2 linked regions of the Drosophila melanogaster genome follow. The protein of the gene in region 1 purifies or fractionates together with the protein of each later gene. This does not show direct contact. Each region holds a gene or a part of one and is shown on either strand. Other genes may lie near its edges. The genes, in order: spdo and numb.

The links.
Region 2: the proteins of spdo (region 1) and numb purify together in Drosophila melanogaster (affinity purification with western blotting; 6 studies listed by BioGRID). This does not show direct contact.

Annotation. Positions count from the first base shown.
Region 1 is NT_033777.3:30,475,054-30,483,213, forward strand, and holds spdo (sanpodo), read left to right. Parts: upstream 1-1,630; 5' UTR 1,631-1,759; coding exon 1,760-3,121; intron 3,122-3,200; coding exon 3,201-3,536; 3' UTR 3,537-3,796; downstream 3,797-8,160. Other genes in the region: PH4alphaEFB (prolyl-4-hydroxylase-alpha EFB), read left to right, coding at 4,066-4,374, 4,540-4,727.
Region 2 is NT_033779.5:9,445,850-9,454,398, forward strand, and holds the start of numb (numb), read left to right. Parts: upstream 1-3,980; 5' UTR 3,981-4,532; intron 4,533-4,746; 5' UTR 4,747-4,771; intron 4,772-8,549.

The sequences.
Region 1 (8,160 bases):
AAATAATATGGGGGAGAGAGCAGGGTGCAGGATGCGGTGAGACAACTCCCCTAATCAAATAATGCCAGTCGCACTCAGGACTCAGGATTCAGGATCTATCTTTGCGGCTGTTTCTCTGCTGTTCAGTTCAGTTGAGTTTAGTTGAGTTTCTGTTCCTGCATTTGTACCTTGGTTGTGTCACAACAAAGGACGAGACAGGATCCTCGCAAACAGCTGACAGCTGTGTGCCTGCCGTCTCTGTCTGTTATCCTTGTGCGCTGTCATTGCCCCTGCCTTTGAGTATCTGCATCCGAGTATCCTTCGGATACTGTGCAGAAACCCCGCACTCTAGTCGCGTGCCGTCTGCCGGCGTTTAACTTTATATGCATCTTAAATTTTCCCACCGACCAGCTGTTGGTGCCTCCAATTTCTGGCTAATCCGCTTGACAAATGCCCCCGGCTGCGCTGATTTGCTTCTGGCCAAAAGGCAATTAAGTTGGCCACCACAAAAGGACAACACGCGTGCATCCAACCTGCGGGCTCAAAGGCATGTACATATGTATGCACGTGGGAGGCGAAATCCGGATAAAGTTGACCCACGAACTCTTCGTTTTTTATCGTTTTTCTCTGACAACCAAATGTAACGGTCGCTTGGGCAACAAAAATCCGGGGAGGGCTGCCTTTAGGGAAGGTTTTTGGTCTGCACAAACATCAGAGCTGAGCAAGGATTATTTTTAAGAAGCAAGCGCGACTGAAGGGTACCCCTTAAAATAAATAAGCGAAGTGAAATAATTTAATCTCTTAAGTTCTTTTGTTTCATTTCTTTCTGACTGAAGCTAAGCTCTACTTTATGGCTTGACGCTTTTACGTCAGAAATATGTGCATATTAAACTAAACTGTTTTGTGAAAGCATTCATTAAAAGTTTGTTTTAATGGTGCCGATATACGGATGCTAACCATATATAATAAAAGCACGATATGTTTTCAACAAACAATAAACTATTTTAAATATTTCGGTCGAGAAACAAAGCAGCGGATGAACAAAAGGAACAAGAACAACTAGTTCTTATATGATTATAATAAAGAAAAAACACTTTTATGATAGTTAAATTATGTTGAATTCTCGGTGATGACAGTGTGCTGATATGATCTGCTCTACACTGGTTATGTTCGAGTATAATCTTAGGTGGATTTAAAACACATTCATCATACCCCTCAACTCGCCAACTAAGTGGTAGCAAAACAGAATTAAAGTCGCAAGGGAGCGCATATGAGTTGGTAAATAAGAATTAAAAACGCCGATAAACGCGAACCGAATAAAACGCCGGCTGCTCCTGCAATTCGCCAGGGGTTTTTAGGTTTTGGTTAGGATCGCGTTGAGACGTCTCAGTTGGAAGTGAAATGCGTTTCAACCCCCGTTCGTTCGTCGAGCAGCAGGAGCAGATGTTTCTGGGTTTTCACATTCGGTTCGGTTCCAATGGCCTAATGGAACGCGCCAAACACAGTCGGTCATTGTACGGGTGTACGGGTGTCTTATGTACAAGTAAATGGTGTTTTATGGGGTGGGGACTCGTATCGGAGCACGATCCACTCGACTGCGCGCCGGCGCAGGAAGTGGAGGAAGTTGAGGAGCTGCCGTCTGGAACGGCTCTCTAGATCAGTCGAGTCGCAGTTGCCGAGGCGAGCGGATCGTGAACAGTGCTACGAACCCAAAGAAAACCCAAAGTAGTGAAAGAACACCCCTAAGAGGTTGTGGAATTGCCACCAGTACAGTGCCAACATGTCGCAGCATAACTATACGAACCCGGCCTTCTGCCAGAACAGCGAGTATTACCCGGTGCCCAGCGGCAACTCGTCGCGAGTGGAGTCCATCTACAACAGAAGCCTCCAGATGAACTTTGGAGCGGCTCCTCCGCGCGCCACTCGAGATCCCCGCGAGGGTCCACTGCGAATGCAGCGTAGCATGTCCACGCGATCGGTGACGCGGAAACAACACCAGCAGCAGCAGCAGCAGCAACACCAACAGCAGATACACCAGCAACACCTGGCTCAGCAGCAGCAACACCAGCCGCAATCCTCTAGTGGTCGCTATGCCTTGGTTCCCCTAGAGGAACTGAACAGCAGTAGGGCCAGTAGATACGCCATAGTTCCAGGACAGGCGGCACAGAGACTGGCCCGATCACAGGATAATCTGGATCGCTATGGCTCCAGACATGGATTGCACGAAGAGGAGGAGCCTCACTCCTTCCACGAGGAACCCCATCAGGAGACCCAGTTTGCCAGCTTGCCACCGATACTTAATTTGCCGCCCAAGCCCAGGAATATTAACAACAATACCAATGCCAATCAAACCCAGATTAAGCATGCTTTTAGTAGCGACTTCGGCAGCAAGACCTTCTTGATAGTGGATAAGAATAGCAACCAGAGGTACCAGATGGTGCCCACCGCCGAGGACGAGGAGCTGGTAGACGAGAACCAGGAGATCATACAGATGCACAATGGCCGCGCCCATCGATATGCAGTGGTGCCCACGGATGCGGACGACGATGATCTGGCGGAGGAGCAGGAGCAGCAGGAAACCTGCCTGAGCAACATGGAATTGAGCAGGCAGTACGCAGCGAGGACCTCAACGCCGCAGCAAAAGAATGCGGCTGCCGCTACGAGGGCCCTGCACGAGCTCCTGACCACGCCCAGGAAGATGCAGCCGCCTCCGCGATTGGCGCACTCAACGCCCCGGAACGCCGCCCACCACGAGCAGCTGCAGCTGGAAAGGCGCTTGGAGATCTACAAAAGCCAACAGATCTACCAAAGCCAACAAGTTGGAGCGGTAGTAGGAGTCCCTCCAACCTTGCCACTTCGCCAGAATCGACTCTCCCCCCAGAGACTTCACTACGAGACCGTGAAGCCGCTTCCCATGCAGATCGCCGATCGATCCATGGCCGTCATCAGTCCCAGGGTCCAGGAGCAGGGGCAGGAGCAGGAACGGGAACAGGACATGAGCAGCATCCAGGGAAAGGGCAAGAAAAACAGCTCCTATCCGCAGAAGATGGCCAATGCCACCATTACCTTGGCCGTTGTCTCCCTGATGCTCGTCTTGGGCAGCACCATGAATGCGGGGCTCATCATCTACATGATAGCACACGTAAGTACTCTCAAATACTTTTAAAGATATTCATTTTGTCCATGGAAACATTTGAATAACACTTTTTCTTCGCCTACAGCTCGGAAAGTCCTTTTACCTGCAGTTTAGCCTGGTGGCCTCCTTCTCCGGAATGGGACTCGGCTTCCTGGGATTCAAGTCGCGCCACTGCGAGTGGCTGCCGAACAGGAGCTATAGTTCCGGCTATATCCTGGTCACCGTATTTTGCCTATTCAAGTCCTGCGGATTGCTTGTGATACTCGTGGTGGACCCCTTCCCCGGATTTCCTGTCCACGATGTGACCACTGGCGTCATCCTTGGACTGTCGACTTTCACCATGTTCTTCATCGGATTGGGAGTGCTGGGCAGCTTGTGGTGCCACCGACCTCCGCCAGACAACCGCGTCAACGTGGTCTAATACCCTGGAAATAGTTAATCCTAGACTCTAATTAGTTGTACACCATCCACTTCGAATTCAAGAACTTGACACACCGAACGGCTAAAAGACCAAAAACAAGAATTAGATTTATAATCAGCGGAAGATCATCATCCCCCAAACGACTGTATATAACAAGTGGGTTGTACCTATTGCTAACACTTAGTTTGCTTAACTTATTGTTCACCTAAGTATAAGTATGTTATGGAATAAGAATAAAATAAAGGCACGTAGATACCAGCACAGCATTTTGTATCAATAAGGAAATGGTTAAAGTGTTCAATTAGGTTAGTTCTTTAACAATCAAAAATATATATATGGTGAATAAACACTTTCAAATATAGGTCGAGTGTTAAAATTATAGATTCAGCGTCGTGATACTTAACTTAATTGAGTAAACAATTATTTTTCAGCTTTCAGCACCTTTTAACTATTGAAATACGGTGCATATTTTAAAGCAATGTGTTTTGCTCTTCTGTCTACTAAGTTTTGCCCTCTCTTTAAATTGCAGCAAAATGGACGAGTACCAGAGGGAGCACTCGGATGCCTCCCATGATATAACCGCCTATGTATCCAATCCAATCAATGCGTACCTGCTGACTAAGCGGCTAACCACCGATTGGCGTCAGGTGGAGAACCTCATGGAGCACGACGTGGGCACGGATTTCCTGCAGAACATCACCCAGTATCGCAGCCTCCTGAAGTTCCCCTCCGACGAGGACCTCAATGGCGCGGCGGTGGCCTTGCTCCGCCTGCAAGACACCTACCAACTGGACACTTCGAGTGTGGCGAGGGGCAAGCTGAATGGCATTCAGTACAGGTAAGTTTTTGTCCAACTAAATGCATGCGAGAAGTAAGGAAGTAAGCTAGAGCTATACAAAGCTGAGCACAGTCATCGATTTTCTGGTTACCAAAAAAATAAACTTCTCGAAGTGGAGCGGCCAAGTCCCTGGGATACTCACTGACCAAATTTATTATCCCGCAGCACGGAAATGTCCTCGGATGACTGCTTCGAGTTGGGTAGACAATCGTACGTGAACCACGACTACTACCACACGGTGCTCTGGATGAACGAGGCGATGGCCCGCATGCTGGAGGAGCCGACCAACCACACCCAGAGCTTCACCAAGGCCGACATCCTCGAGTACCTGGCCTTCTCCACCTACAAGGAGGGTGAGTGCAAGTCCGAGTCCAGTGCGACTCCCCGACATCCGTCCGCAAAGTGCCCCCGGTTGCACTTGCAAAAACCGCTGCTTAAATTGAAATATCGTTTTCTAATGAAATTTATTTAAATACTTCACTGGCTCCTTTGACAAGAAATATTCAAGCGTTGCATGCTTCAGACCGTGAAATTATTTAAAACTTTCGCTAAAAGCTATGCGTTTACCTTTATGTACAACCATAACTATGTTAGCATACGCTCATGGCAGTGCTGCTTCAATAACTTATAAAATCTAGAAATTTTCACAGCCCCCTAAACCCGAAAATGTCCTTAAATTTCGGTAATTAAATTCTCAGAGTGTGCTCGCCACTCCATCTCGTTGTTGTCCTGGCTCGTTTGCATGGCACTTTCGAGGTCCATTTGGTTGCAGGAAATTGCACTCAGTCGCCGGCCACTTGCCTCCTGTTGTCCTGCCACTTTCCATACTTTCCACCTGGAGCCGCTCTCAGGGTTCTCCATTAAGTGCGAATAAGTGTTGGCCATCTGCCGCCAGTGCGACTTTGTTGTGGAAAGGAGGGAAGTCATCACGTAGAGCAGGGCAGGATCGGCACGTCCTCTGGCTAGGGAGTTGTATGCTTTATTAACGTCTTATTACACCGGTTAGTGTCCCCTATCCGTTCATCAACGGGCTGGCTTCACACACGCATCTGTATCCCCAGTGGGTGCTCCTTGCCTCTAGGAGGCTCCACACAGTAAGAAATTCATTTTTTTTTTTTTTTTTTTTTTATGATGTTTTTATTATTTGATCAACGCACTGTTACCCATGCGGCAACTTAATTTGATCTGCTTAAATTATTTTATTTTACAATGTGTCTTGGTTACTTAAGACTAACAGATTTTTAATCCTAAAAATGATAGGGAGAATTATAATAGTTGATATAACATAGTAATTATTATTTATTTGATTATTCTAATGAATTTTAAAACTAAGACTTTCTAGGTCAAAACCAGGTTAGGGAGGTCATGAGGGTGGTGTCGCTTGAGTCTTCTTTTGACTCTAGTCCGAGGGTCAGCATTGACCACAGCTGCAGTTCCTAGCTTCCTTGCTAGGCTGTTGGGGTGTACTCATTTAGGAATACGTGTAATTAGAACCTGAACCAGTTCTCTGAAAGCTTTATTAGCCTCTACAGTTTCGTGTATAAGCTTAAATAGTTCGTCCATTCTCGTATTGATGGCCCGAATGGAGTTGTCTAACGTCATAAATTTATTGTTAAGGCTATTGTCCGACGTTGGTATAACTTCAGCCTGCACAGTAGCACGAGCCCTAGATTGAGTCGTGTTGCGTCGAGCAATATCAGCATAAGAGATGTTGGTTCTTAATGCCTCAGCTGGTATGTAACCGCTTGAAGAACGTTGTGGAGGTTTGAGTGTGGCAATATTATTAGTCATCGGCAGCCTGGACCTTGGTTTTAGCTTCTTGGCTTTCTCTGCTCTGACAGGGCAGCTTTTGTCTGTCGAGACATGATCACCACCACAATTTATACACAGACATACGTCACTTATGCACAAAGCGGACCCGGTCATATGGGGACCACTACATTTACCACAAATAGGATCCTGGGCGCAATAGTTCTTGGAGTGTCCAAAAATTTGGCATCTTTGACATTGTAGCAGTTCTTTTCTACGTGTAGCGCGCTCAACAGTGACTCTGTATCTGCCAAGTCGAGTTATCTTAAGAGACTCTTTAACATTCGGGCCTTGTTTAAGATTAATATAAAACAAATTTTGTCTAGTTTTGAAGTTTTTTGTAGCTTCATTATCATCTTCGTTTACCTGAATGTTCTTCCAGTCAGACTTTCTGGGGCAATAGATATTAAGGACCTCATAGCCGTGATCACTAAATGCTTGTTCTATCTGCGAACTAGGAACATTAGCATGGATTCCTTTAAGCACTACTCTGTAGGGTTTTTCTTCTTTAAGTTGGTGATGCCAGAATTGACAATTTAACTTATTTAGTTCTTTTACAGCGGTGCGGAAAGCATCAGGGTTGGCTGTATAGATTCTGGATACACCAAATCTAGAGGTGCAGATGTAGTAGTTTGAGGAGCCAATACTCAGATTAAGAGCCCGTTCCAAGGTGACCGGATCACTTACACTTGGTACGCATATGGCTGGGGGTTTGCTATATTTAGCGGATTGTCCACCACCATCTCGGGCAGCAGAGTCTTCAATGTCAGAATCAGCATCCGACACGTCTTGCTCCATATTCTCCGCTTCAGCAGACAAAAGCGCGAAGCGATTGTTATTTAATGCTGCTGCAGTGGAGGTAGAGGCCTCCTCATTGAGTGGCATAGTGGCCTGCCTTTTAGTTTTACGGCTTGGAGAAGGGGTGAGGATAGGTAATGGGGGCTGAGACACGCCTTTTCGTTTCCTGTTGACAGTACGATCATGTGCTTGAAAGGGGCAATTCGCTTTAGATGGCTTATTGGGCAGTGATGACAGAGGTGTCAGCAGTCCATTGTCATAAGGCGTAGTTGGGCAAATGCTAGTGGTCACGGTTGTGCCATCAGTGTATGTAGGAGTACAGATCATGTTGGCCTGTACGTTAGAAATAGTGCAGGTAACACTTGCATTGGTGTTGCTGCTGATTGTCACCATTAAGCTGGAGACCGTAGATTGAGTTGGCATACCTTCCAGGTTAGGGGAAACAACTGCACAGCTGGCGCGGAGTTGGGAGCGTAATTCTCCTGGCTCAACACCTGCTACTTTCCTCATTTTCTCAAATTTATCGCACCCATTGCTAGGTCGCGATTGAGCAAATGAATTCTCCATTATATCAATTGTCTTTATACTTATGCCGTATAATGCAAATGATATTTACTAAACACAATAAGATTTACCGGTTTACTTGTAAGGTAAATTGTAACAACCTCCCGCTTGCGCAGCGCGCAGGGCGAGGGGCAAAAACAACACAGCTTAGAAATTGCTAGTTGCTGATAAGTTTCGCGAACCGAAGCCGTCACCGTTATGCAGTGACTAAAAATAGATTTTGTTTGTGAGATAAGCACACGATCTGCGCAAATGTTTGTGATGGATCACAATTACGTTTTTGTTTTATCCGCGACTTCTGTGAACACGTCCACTCGATTGCTCATCTCCCATGCGAATGAAGAAATTCATAGAAAACACGTAGCCTGTTAAGTTCGGTGTCTAAAAGTGTGCAGAGATTTTAGAAAGTCTTAGTCCTGACTTTTTGGCCCAGCATTGCATGCTTTTAGTTGCCTTCTTTTAATTACTGGCACTTTCAATGCTTTCAAAACGATATGAGCAATGTAATTTGACTTGTGAATATTGGTTCACTTTTTATCCTACTATGCTCTGGGTCTAGCTCAACAAACAACCGATGGGCGTGGCCGGGGGCGGGGCGGAAGTGCGGCCATATTG
Region 2 (8,549 bases), on another chromosome or scaffold:
AATCCGTTAAATGCTTTTTAATTGCATCTGCAACCTTATCCCGGGGACACTTGAAAATTTCAGTTCGCATCGGCAGGGAAAAGTGGGCGGGCTAGGGGCAGAAAATATAGTTTGAAAAGAGGGTGGTTGAGAGGGCGTGAGCAACCCCAGGCTAATTGGTTGGGCGTGAAATTTGTGAGTTTAATTTTTTAGGACTCGGTTAGCTGTCAACCCCTGAAAAATTAAGGACCCCTACAATTTGGCACTGTGGGAGACGAAATTGATAAAGAACCGAGATGCAATCAGCCAAAGTAAACCACTTTTTATCGGCTTAAAATAACATTGGTTAGAAAGTCCGCCAAAGCAAAAAAAAAAAATATCCATAAGATAAATAAGTAGGGTTACAATTAAACGAATTTAATTTTTAATTTTATGATGTCTTTAACCTAAAATAATATACTTGAGTAATGATGAGTGTGACAATAATGGTGTTTTTTGTTTTTTTCCATATATGTATGTATGTAGTATTATTTACTAAATTGTATCTTTAAAAATAAATGTATGGCAATAGGAAGAAGAATTTGATATACAAAATCTTTTTTAAACACAATTAATTCCTATAAGCGTACATACCTTGTGATACTTTATATCCTCAGTGCAATAACTTTAAATCACTTTAAGCTTCAGTTCATTCAACCGCAAGCCGAGCTTAGCATTAACAAAAAGCTCTTTCACCTGCCCGACAAAGCTTTTAAGCCCTCGAGCCACTCAAGTTTTGCGGCTCAGCTCGGCGACGTCTCAAGAACGTACTCAAGAAACGCTCATAAGCAATAGGCTAAAAGAACACATTTACTTGGCCAAACACATACATAGACATACACACATGCAGTTTTAAATTAAAAACAAATTGCGAACACGAGACAAAATATGTTAGAGCTGTCATGACCCTAATGACCGTGGGAACTTTTTTATAAACGTCACTGACATTGTCAGCTGAGTGCCCAAGTGTGAATGTGCATGCATTGGGTGTAAGCAGGCTCTTAAGTTTCTTTTAAGAGAGACTTGAGTTCAAGCATTGCCAGATTAAAAACATTTTTAAAATTTTGTAACGGAAACAGCAGCTTAAATAATAACTTTAATAACTGCTTTAATACTCTATTTATAATAAAGAATATTTTTTTCATTTCAGCTTTTTCAAGGCACCTTAAACTAATACAAGGTAAGCAATTTCAAATATTTTTTTCAACGAGAGAGAGAGAACGAAACAACAAACAAGTTTTTTTCCGTAATATATTTTTAACAATTTTTCCTAAACCCAAAATGGAATTAAATCATCACAGTTAATATACAAACCTTTAAAAAATCACAAAAACTAAATTACCTTGAATCTTGATTATCAAAACATTGGGTTAATCGATTATTCATCACCCCCTTCGAATTGTCGCAAAATTATTTCAATTATTGCCCAACAATTGATTTGTTAATCTTCTTGTCTGCAAATGGAAATCCTTAACAATTGACCCAGCAATTTGTATGAGTAATTGGCTTCTTAATCGCAATTACAGGCCAGATTGGGTTCAATTCGAGTGAATTGATTCGGTTTGGATTACTCATGCCAACGTATTAGACTGTGTTTGAGCGTATTTGTTGCCATTTGTTGTGAGCCTTTCATTGCGGCATTTTGCGCATTTTGATTGAAATTTTGATTAGGTTGCACATGTGGCTTTTGTCTGCCCCGCAGCTCCATTGACTGACATTGATTTCTCAGCTTATGGCCATTTCCCTATTTCTATGCTTCCCTATGCTTCTTCCGTTTTCCCCTTTCCCCCATTGTCTGGCATTATCTTTTGTCGGTTCATACCAGCGGAGCTGGAATTATTTGTCTGCGACGGGAGGTGGGTGGGTTGTCTGGGATCTGGGGTCTCCTCATTCAGTGCTAGCTGTTTTCATTATGGTTTATCTAAAAGTGTCGAGTAATGTCTGTAATGGCTTTAACACATTTAACACACGGAAAAAGGCATAACCGTCTTTAATTTTAACGTAATGGAGTCAAATGATAATGGACATAAGCTTTATATAACTAACATCTTCTCGTGTTTTGAGTAAATCAATTCATAAGTATGCACTTATTATGGTTAATTTTGATTTTATTACTTTTTGAATAACTTATCCCAAGCTCGAAAAAGTTTGAAAATTTTATGTCATCTTTTAATGAAATTTGGAAATATTTGTATTATTAAATGATAGCAATAAGAATTTACATTTTTTCTGAGTGCAAGTCTGCTTTTTTCATCAGTTGCAGCACTTTGTTTTTTCTGCATTTAAATTGCGATAATGTTGGCGCGATTGGGTGCCATGTGTAGGTAGCAATGGTTTGCTCCCAATAGTTTTGATACCATTCTTTTTACTACCTGATTTTATGGGCTACCTGGATTAAAGTCGCTGCTGCATTGCAATTTTTCGCACGTTTCATTGCTGAAAACTCTCTTATTATCTATATGTATGACTGTCTCACGCGCACATTTGGGTATTTATCTTTCGGAGTTATCTATGTTTCTCTTAGGGTACAATTTTCTCTTAAAGAGCGAACGACCTTGCATCGCGCGCTCTTTTGTTCTACGGTTTCGATCGATCATTTTGCCATTGTTGTCACGGAATTTAGGTTGGGCAACTAATTCAAATCGATAAGTTCAATACATTGATTACCGAGCCTTGATTATTGTTCAGTTAATCAGTTTTTATTCTTTTCATTTGTTTTGTATGTCCGTTGGGATTTCATAACCACCTAGCCATCTTTTGCATTTTGTTAATAGCTAAGTCTTTGGTAACTCTCTTTGATGACTCTCTTGAGTGCCATAATCATTTCCATTCAAACCAAACCACTCGCTCTTCATACTCCATGTGGAAAAAACTGGCAGCTGCAGAACCAACGAAACCAACTGGTTTTGAATGCCCTTCTATCACTTCAATGGGGTATCTCAAATCCTGATTTCGAAGACAAAAAAATTTTCGGGATTAGTAATTTTTATTACGCAAGTTTTTAAAGATAACATCCTTAAAACTTGTAATTTTTACACCCGTGCAAAATTCATAATTTATTTTACAAAGTTTCCAAGAATTTGAGCGCTGCTAAAGAAAGACGACTAAAGACAATTCCGAACTTTAAATCCAAGGCGTATGGGTTAGCGATAAATCTGAGAGCCAGAGATATTACAAAACAATAAGAGGACCTTTTTGAACTACCCGGCTTTGTAATTATCTTAGCACTGGCCCATTTGGGAAATTCCCAGAGTTAAATAATAAAATTGAGCTCGTGTTTTCCAAGAATTTTCTCAACTTATCCCAACCGCAAATCTTTTAAGCCACGGTCACCAAATCGCGATCTCTAAATGCAGCGCATCTGAGATTATACCTGGCCGAGATACCTTAAACGCCACTCTCGCTCGCTCAACTTCTGCTATCTCACTCCCACTCTTGAAAACCTACAAGCTGCAGAAACGCGTCGCAGTTTTATCATTATCACAACAAATACAAACGCAGCAGAGCGGAGGTGAGATGGAAGAAGCAAAACGACGTCGTCGTTGGTAGTAAATAAACACAATGGAACTGAGCAAATCCACAAACGTACTGGTGCACTGAAAAAATCACTTTAAAGTTTTAAGAGGACTTAACAACTTGTAATATAATAAATAAAATAAAACACTATGATAATAATGGCTTAATAGGTTGTATTAAAAGCGCGTAATAGAATAAGGCAATACCCTTTGATGACGACCTTTTCCAAATCGATAGAAAAGTAGTAAGATCACTCTTCCCTCAAAGTGATCTTAACACCACATTTAGTTGAAATCAGGGCCAATTTGTTCGATTTTTCTCAGTGCACACACACACAGGCCGAAACACCCTGTAACAGCTGTCGCTCTCTTCCGCTCTTTGCACGCTCGCACTCTTTCCTCTCGACTCAAACAGCGCTGAGCGTGCGGCCAGAGTCAGCCAGTACAGTAGAGCAATTTGAGCCGCCGCATCGAGCTAACCGCTTACCGCTTGCCGGACAAACGCGTTCCGTTTTCCCTCCGCTTCCATTCGCTTTCGGCCCACTGTCGTCGTCGGTTGTCCAAATGTCCGCGTAGGGATAGTGTAACCTTTTTCCAATTTCCGGGGGGGTCATAGTAAAAAAGTTAACACCTAAGTAGTCCAGGCCTTTTGGGCCAAGCCGATCCCAGCCATCCATTTACCGGGCACCGGGCTCTTAACACGGGGATCGTTTTAATCGGTGTCGCGTTGTCGTTATTTCGGTTTTTCGCGATTTTCCCCACATTCCGTGTGCTGTGTGCTGTGCGAGGTGTTCTTGGAATTAATAAATAGTTAAAACCGAAACGTTGGCAAAAATCCACTGAATGAGCAAGAAAGTTATATAAGGCCCGAACCGGATTTATTTATTAATTATACATACGAATGTGATCAAAACAAAAACAGACTGACAACAAAACTCGGCTTTTTGGAATATACCAAAAAAAGCAACTCAAATACAAACCGATCCCGATATATATATGGTAAATGTTTAAAACCAAAAAAAAAAAAAAAACAGTAACAACAGCCAAAGTTGAGCTTAACTTGAGCTTCGGATTTAAAGCCAAGTCAAAACGAGTTTATTGTGGTGCAAAATCAGATTTGCATATACATATGCAATTCTTTTACAGCTTTACGCTAGTTGTTGCTGCTTTGACATTTGTAAAAACATAATATTCATTTTTGTAATAATTCCAGTTTTTGACGTCTTCAATATGCATTGGTATAGAAAACTAAAAACAGCTGTTCAAACTATGTAACACTATACTAGACTTTGCTTCGCAATAAGCTAAAGTATTCAAAATACGTTTTGGGGCATTAATTTTAATAATCAGGGGGAGTATATCCATTAAGGTTATAGCGATACCAGTAATTTAGAATGAATTACCCAGCTAAAAAACTCAATAAATCTTTGCAGTTTGCACTTGAACATAGCAATTGTTGAGAGAGGGTTAACAAATGAAATATATAAACACAATTAGCAATTAGCTGATTTTGGCTGGATCACATGAACGCACATACATACATACGCACATACGTACATATATATCTAAAAAGTTACGATTGACTGGATTCTACTGGTCTCCAGTCTCTCACGTTTCCGAAGATGAATCATTTGGCATGACTACAACTCTTCGAATCGATCGTATATAAAGACTATTTAGACTATTTCAAATATAGTCCCACATTTCAGTTTAAAATCCAATGAATTTCTGCCGAAGCATGCACATATTCTTACCACAAACTCTTCTCCCAGCTCTTTTGTAAAGTTAATTTATTTTAATGTATACTGTGTGCCAAATTATTTGACTGTCAACTGCATAAATTACTGCGATAACAAACAAAACGAAGAAAAAAAAGAAAAGTGGCAAAGGCAAAATGGAAAATGGGGAAAATTTCCCATTGAAATGAGTAATGAATTGGTTTGGGGCGGCTGAGAACGAAACCAACCGAGAGTGGGTGAAAATATATTATAATAACAGTGTAATTAAATGCCAACTTGGCCCCCGCTTTCGCCAGAAGAGAGTTTTTTGCAGCCGCAAACTATGGGATACTTTTGCTTTGCATAATTATGCTGTTCAACTTGATTTACTCGGAATGTTCTTCAAGATCTTGAGTTTCCACCAAAAGGGCTCCCTGATTTATGCTGCACTTTTTTCTTTTTTTTTTGGTAGCAATGCTTTGCAGCCTGGTCAGATTATAAATCTCAGCAGTTCATAAAAACTTCAGGCAAAAAGCTCCAGCAAAAACCATTCAGAAACATTCCAAGAAAAGCCAGAAACACGAACGAAAAAAAAAACTGGTAACAAGCCGAGGAAAAAAGTAAGAACATAATGCTACCTGGGTGCAGTTGGACTTGAGTTAAGCCAACTCTGGGATGGTGGAGCCGCGTCGAATGGAACCGGTTTGGTGGCTGGCTGGCAGCCAGCCGACTCCAACTTTTCTCACATGCCTTTCGATTATGCCAAGTCGACTGCATTCTTCGAGACGCGGCTTTCGCTAAACGTTTGGCTAAGACCGAGCTCTCAGCTCTCAGCTCCAAGCTCCAGCGCCCCATCCTCGAGCTCCATCCCATCGCTCTGCAAGTTCAACACTCAGTCGAGGAGTTAGACCTCAACTTCAACTTCAACTTGATCGCTGCCTCGGCTGTGGCTGCATAAAACTTTAATTTCATGGAATTTCCTTTCTATTTTTATGCTGCAACGCCGATGATTAACAACAGCAGCAGCAGCCAGCCAGCCAACTGCCAACAAAGAGAGACGTTGGACAAGTCAAGAACACGGGAACAAGTCCAAGACCAAGTCTAACTCCAAGTCATGGCTGCCAGCTAGAACTTCAACTTCTGGGCCATTAACTTAGCTCTGGAGACGGGACACAGCGGGCATGTGGCACCTGGCATTCTACATCTAAGGCAGGAAATTAAAAATGCAAAAAATTGGATAATTATGCATGTAAACGTTTTGTCATTAAGTTGATACTTAAATGCTGCGTCGATTAACAGGCAGATTTTAATAGAAAATAACGCTATTAAATCGGCCTAGAAGACACGGGGATTCCTTTAGGTGTCCCCACTTGTATTTCTTTTATAAAAACCACTTGCAATTGCTTTGAAAGTCTGCAAAAAATTACAATTATGAACCTTAAAGGGTATTAGAGAGTTTGTAACTTTTTGTTTATACTTGGCATTTTTCTTGCCTGCCAATAGCTAACTAGCCGTAAAGCTGAACAGCAAACATTTCGCATTAATGCCAAAAACTTTTCTCGCCTCTCGAAGACCCGACTAAGTCGACACGCCAACTTGGTAATAACTTGGCCTTGGCTTGGCTAAGTTGGCCAAAGCCGCAGCGCCTTAAGAATGTCAAAGGGCATGCTTGGATATGATTACGAGAATTTCCGTTCCTAGCTCCTTTTTTATTGCCTTTAATGAGCCAGTTCAATTTCCGGTCTGTCAGCTGGTTGTGCGCTGATAAAGGATTAATCTTATATAGAAACTATAGTTTGTCAAATTGTGTATGTAATTACTTTAGCTCTGATATAAAATTCTATTGAAATAGAACGTTTATTTACCTATGCCAAATTCTTATATGTAACCCAAATACCGTGACACACCTGTTCGCCTGGCTTATTAGGCAAATAGGGGACTATTTGCGCCAGTATTACTGCGCCCCCACAAAAAACACTAGGATGGCTTCTTTTGGCAAGTATATGGGTTGTTTGTTTAGTTTCCTATCGATTATTTTCATTGGGTATTTGCACTGCCTACTTTTGGGCGCCTGGCACCCGGAAATTGCTAAACCAATTGGCCAACAGCTGTTTTGTGTGATGTCTATTTGCCTGGCGTCGACAGAAGACGAGCGTTGACAATTGGAACAGAGAAAACTAACGTGGTTACACTTTTGTGCGCCATAAAATTGATTTGACTCTCCTCCTCCTTCCCCCTTTTGACGACGAAACTATGACAATCAGAGCAGAGAATGCCACTGGAAAATAGCGGGAGACAACCGTTTGGAAAATCGTCAGGCTTGGCTGACTTTCCATCGCCTCGAATTTTGGACCACTTTGCCTCCGCGACGACCTTTGCCGCCATAAATCGGTTGGATAATCGTCTAAACTTAGCAGTTATCTAAACATAGTTGCTGGTGATGTCACGTAACTTTCCACAAAACTTGTAAGCAAACAAATTCTCCTGTTGTTTTGCTTATCGCAAAGTCACATTTTGAAAAATCCCTTTCCCATTTTAAAACTGTCAGATAAAAAAGAGCTCTTTAGCCAGTTTTACGTTTGCTTCTGTCTGGGAAAGAAAAATATTACATCTTGTGTACTTTGATTACACGACGTTTGCTGGAGATCAACATTTGGATAAATACTTAGGAAATTAAACTACTAGTGCCTTTAAAAATCTTGTTTTGTAATCTAATATATTTTTCTGTCACATCGAAGCATTTGTATCAAGTTTCCAGGGTCATTACAAATTCAGTATAAGGATTGAATAAATTCAAATAAGCTTTGGTTTGGCTATTGTCTTAGGAATTTGTTTTCAACGCATTATACATTCTTGTGCATATTAAATTAGTTCTTAGTATTCCCCAGTGATTTTCCTCTACGATTTTCCCTCGCTTTATGAGTTATGAATGCGTAATGGTAAATGTGCCTTGGATGAATGATTGGTTGTTGAAAATTTCTCTGTGTTTCTCACCTTTGGTCTTCATTTCTTCATTGAATTGCATATTTTAATGGCTATAACGTGTCGCACGGCTCGGAAACAGGTTCCCCGAAAAATTCGGTTAACTTTTGTTAAGTTTGCCACAGCGCGTTGAGTCATTGAAATATTTATTTGCATAATGAGTGTAAACAGAAAGCTTGTAAGCGTGGTTCGCAGAAACAAAATCGTACGCTCACAAAAGTGGCTAAAGTCGAATGTAATTACCGTCGCATCTGCCGGCTGGCGAGCAAACAAAGGATAACAAGGATCTTCGATCGTCCTGTTGAGACACGAACCA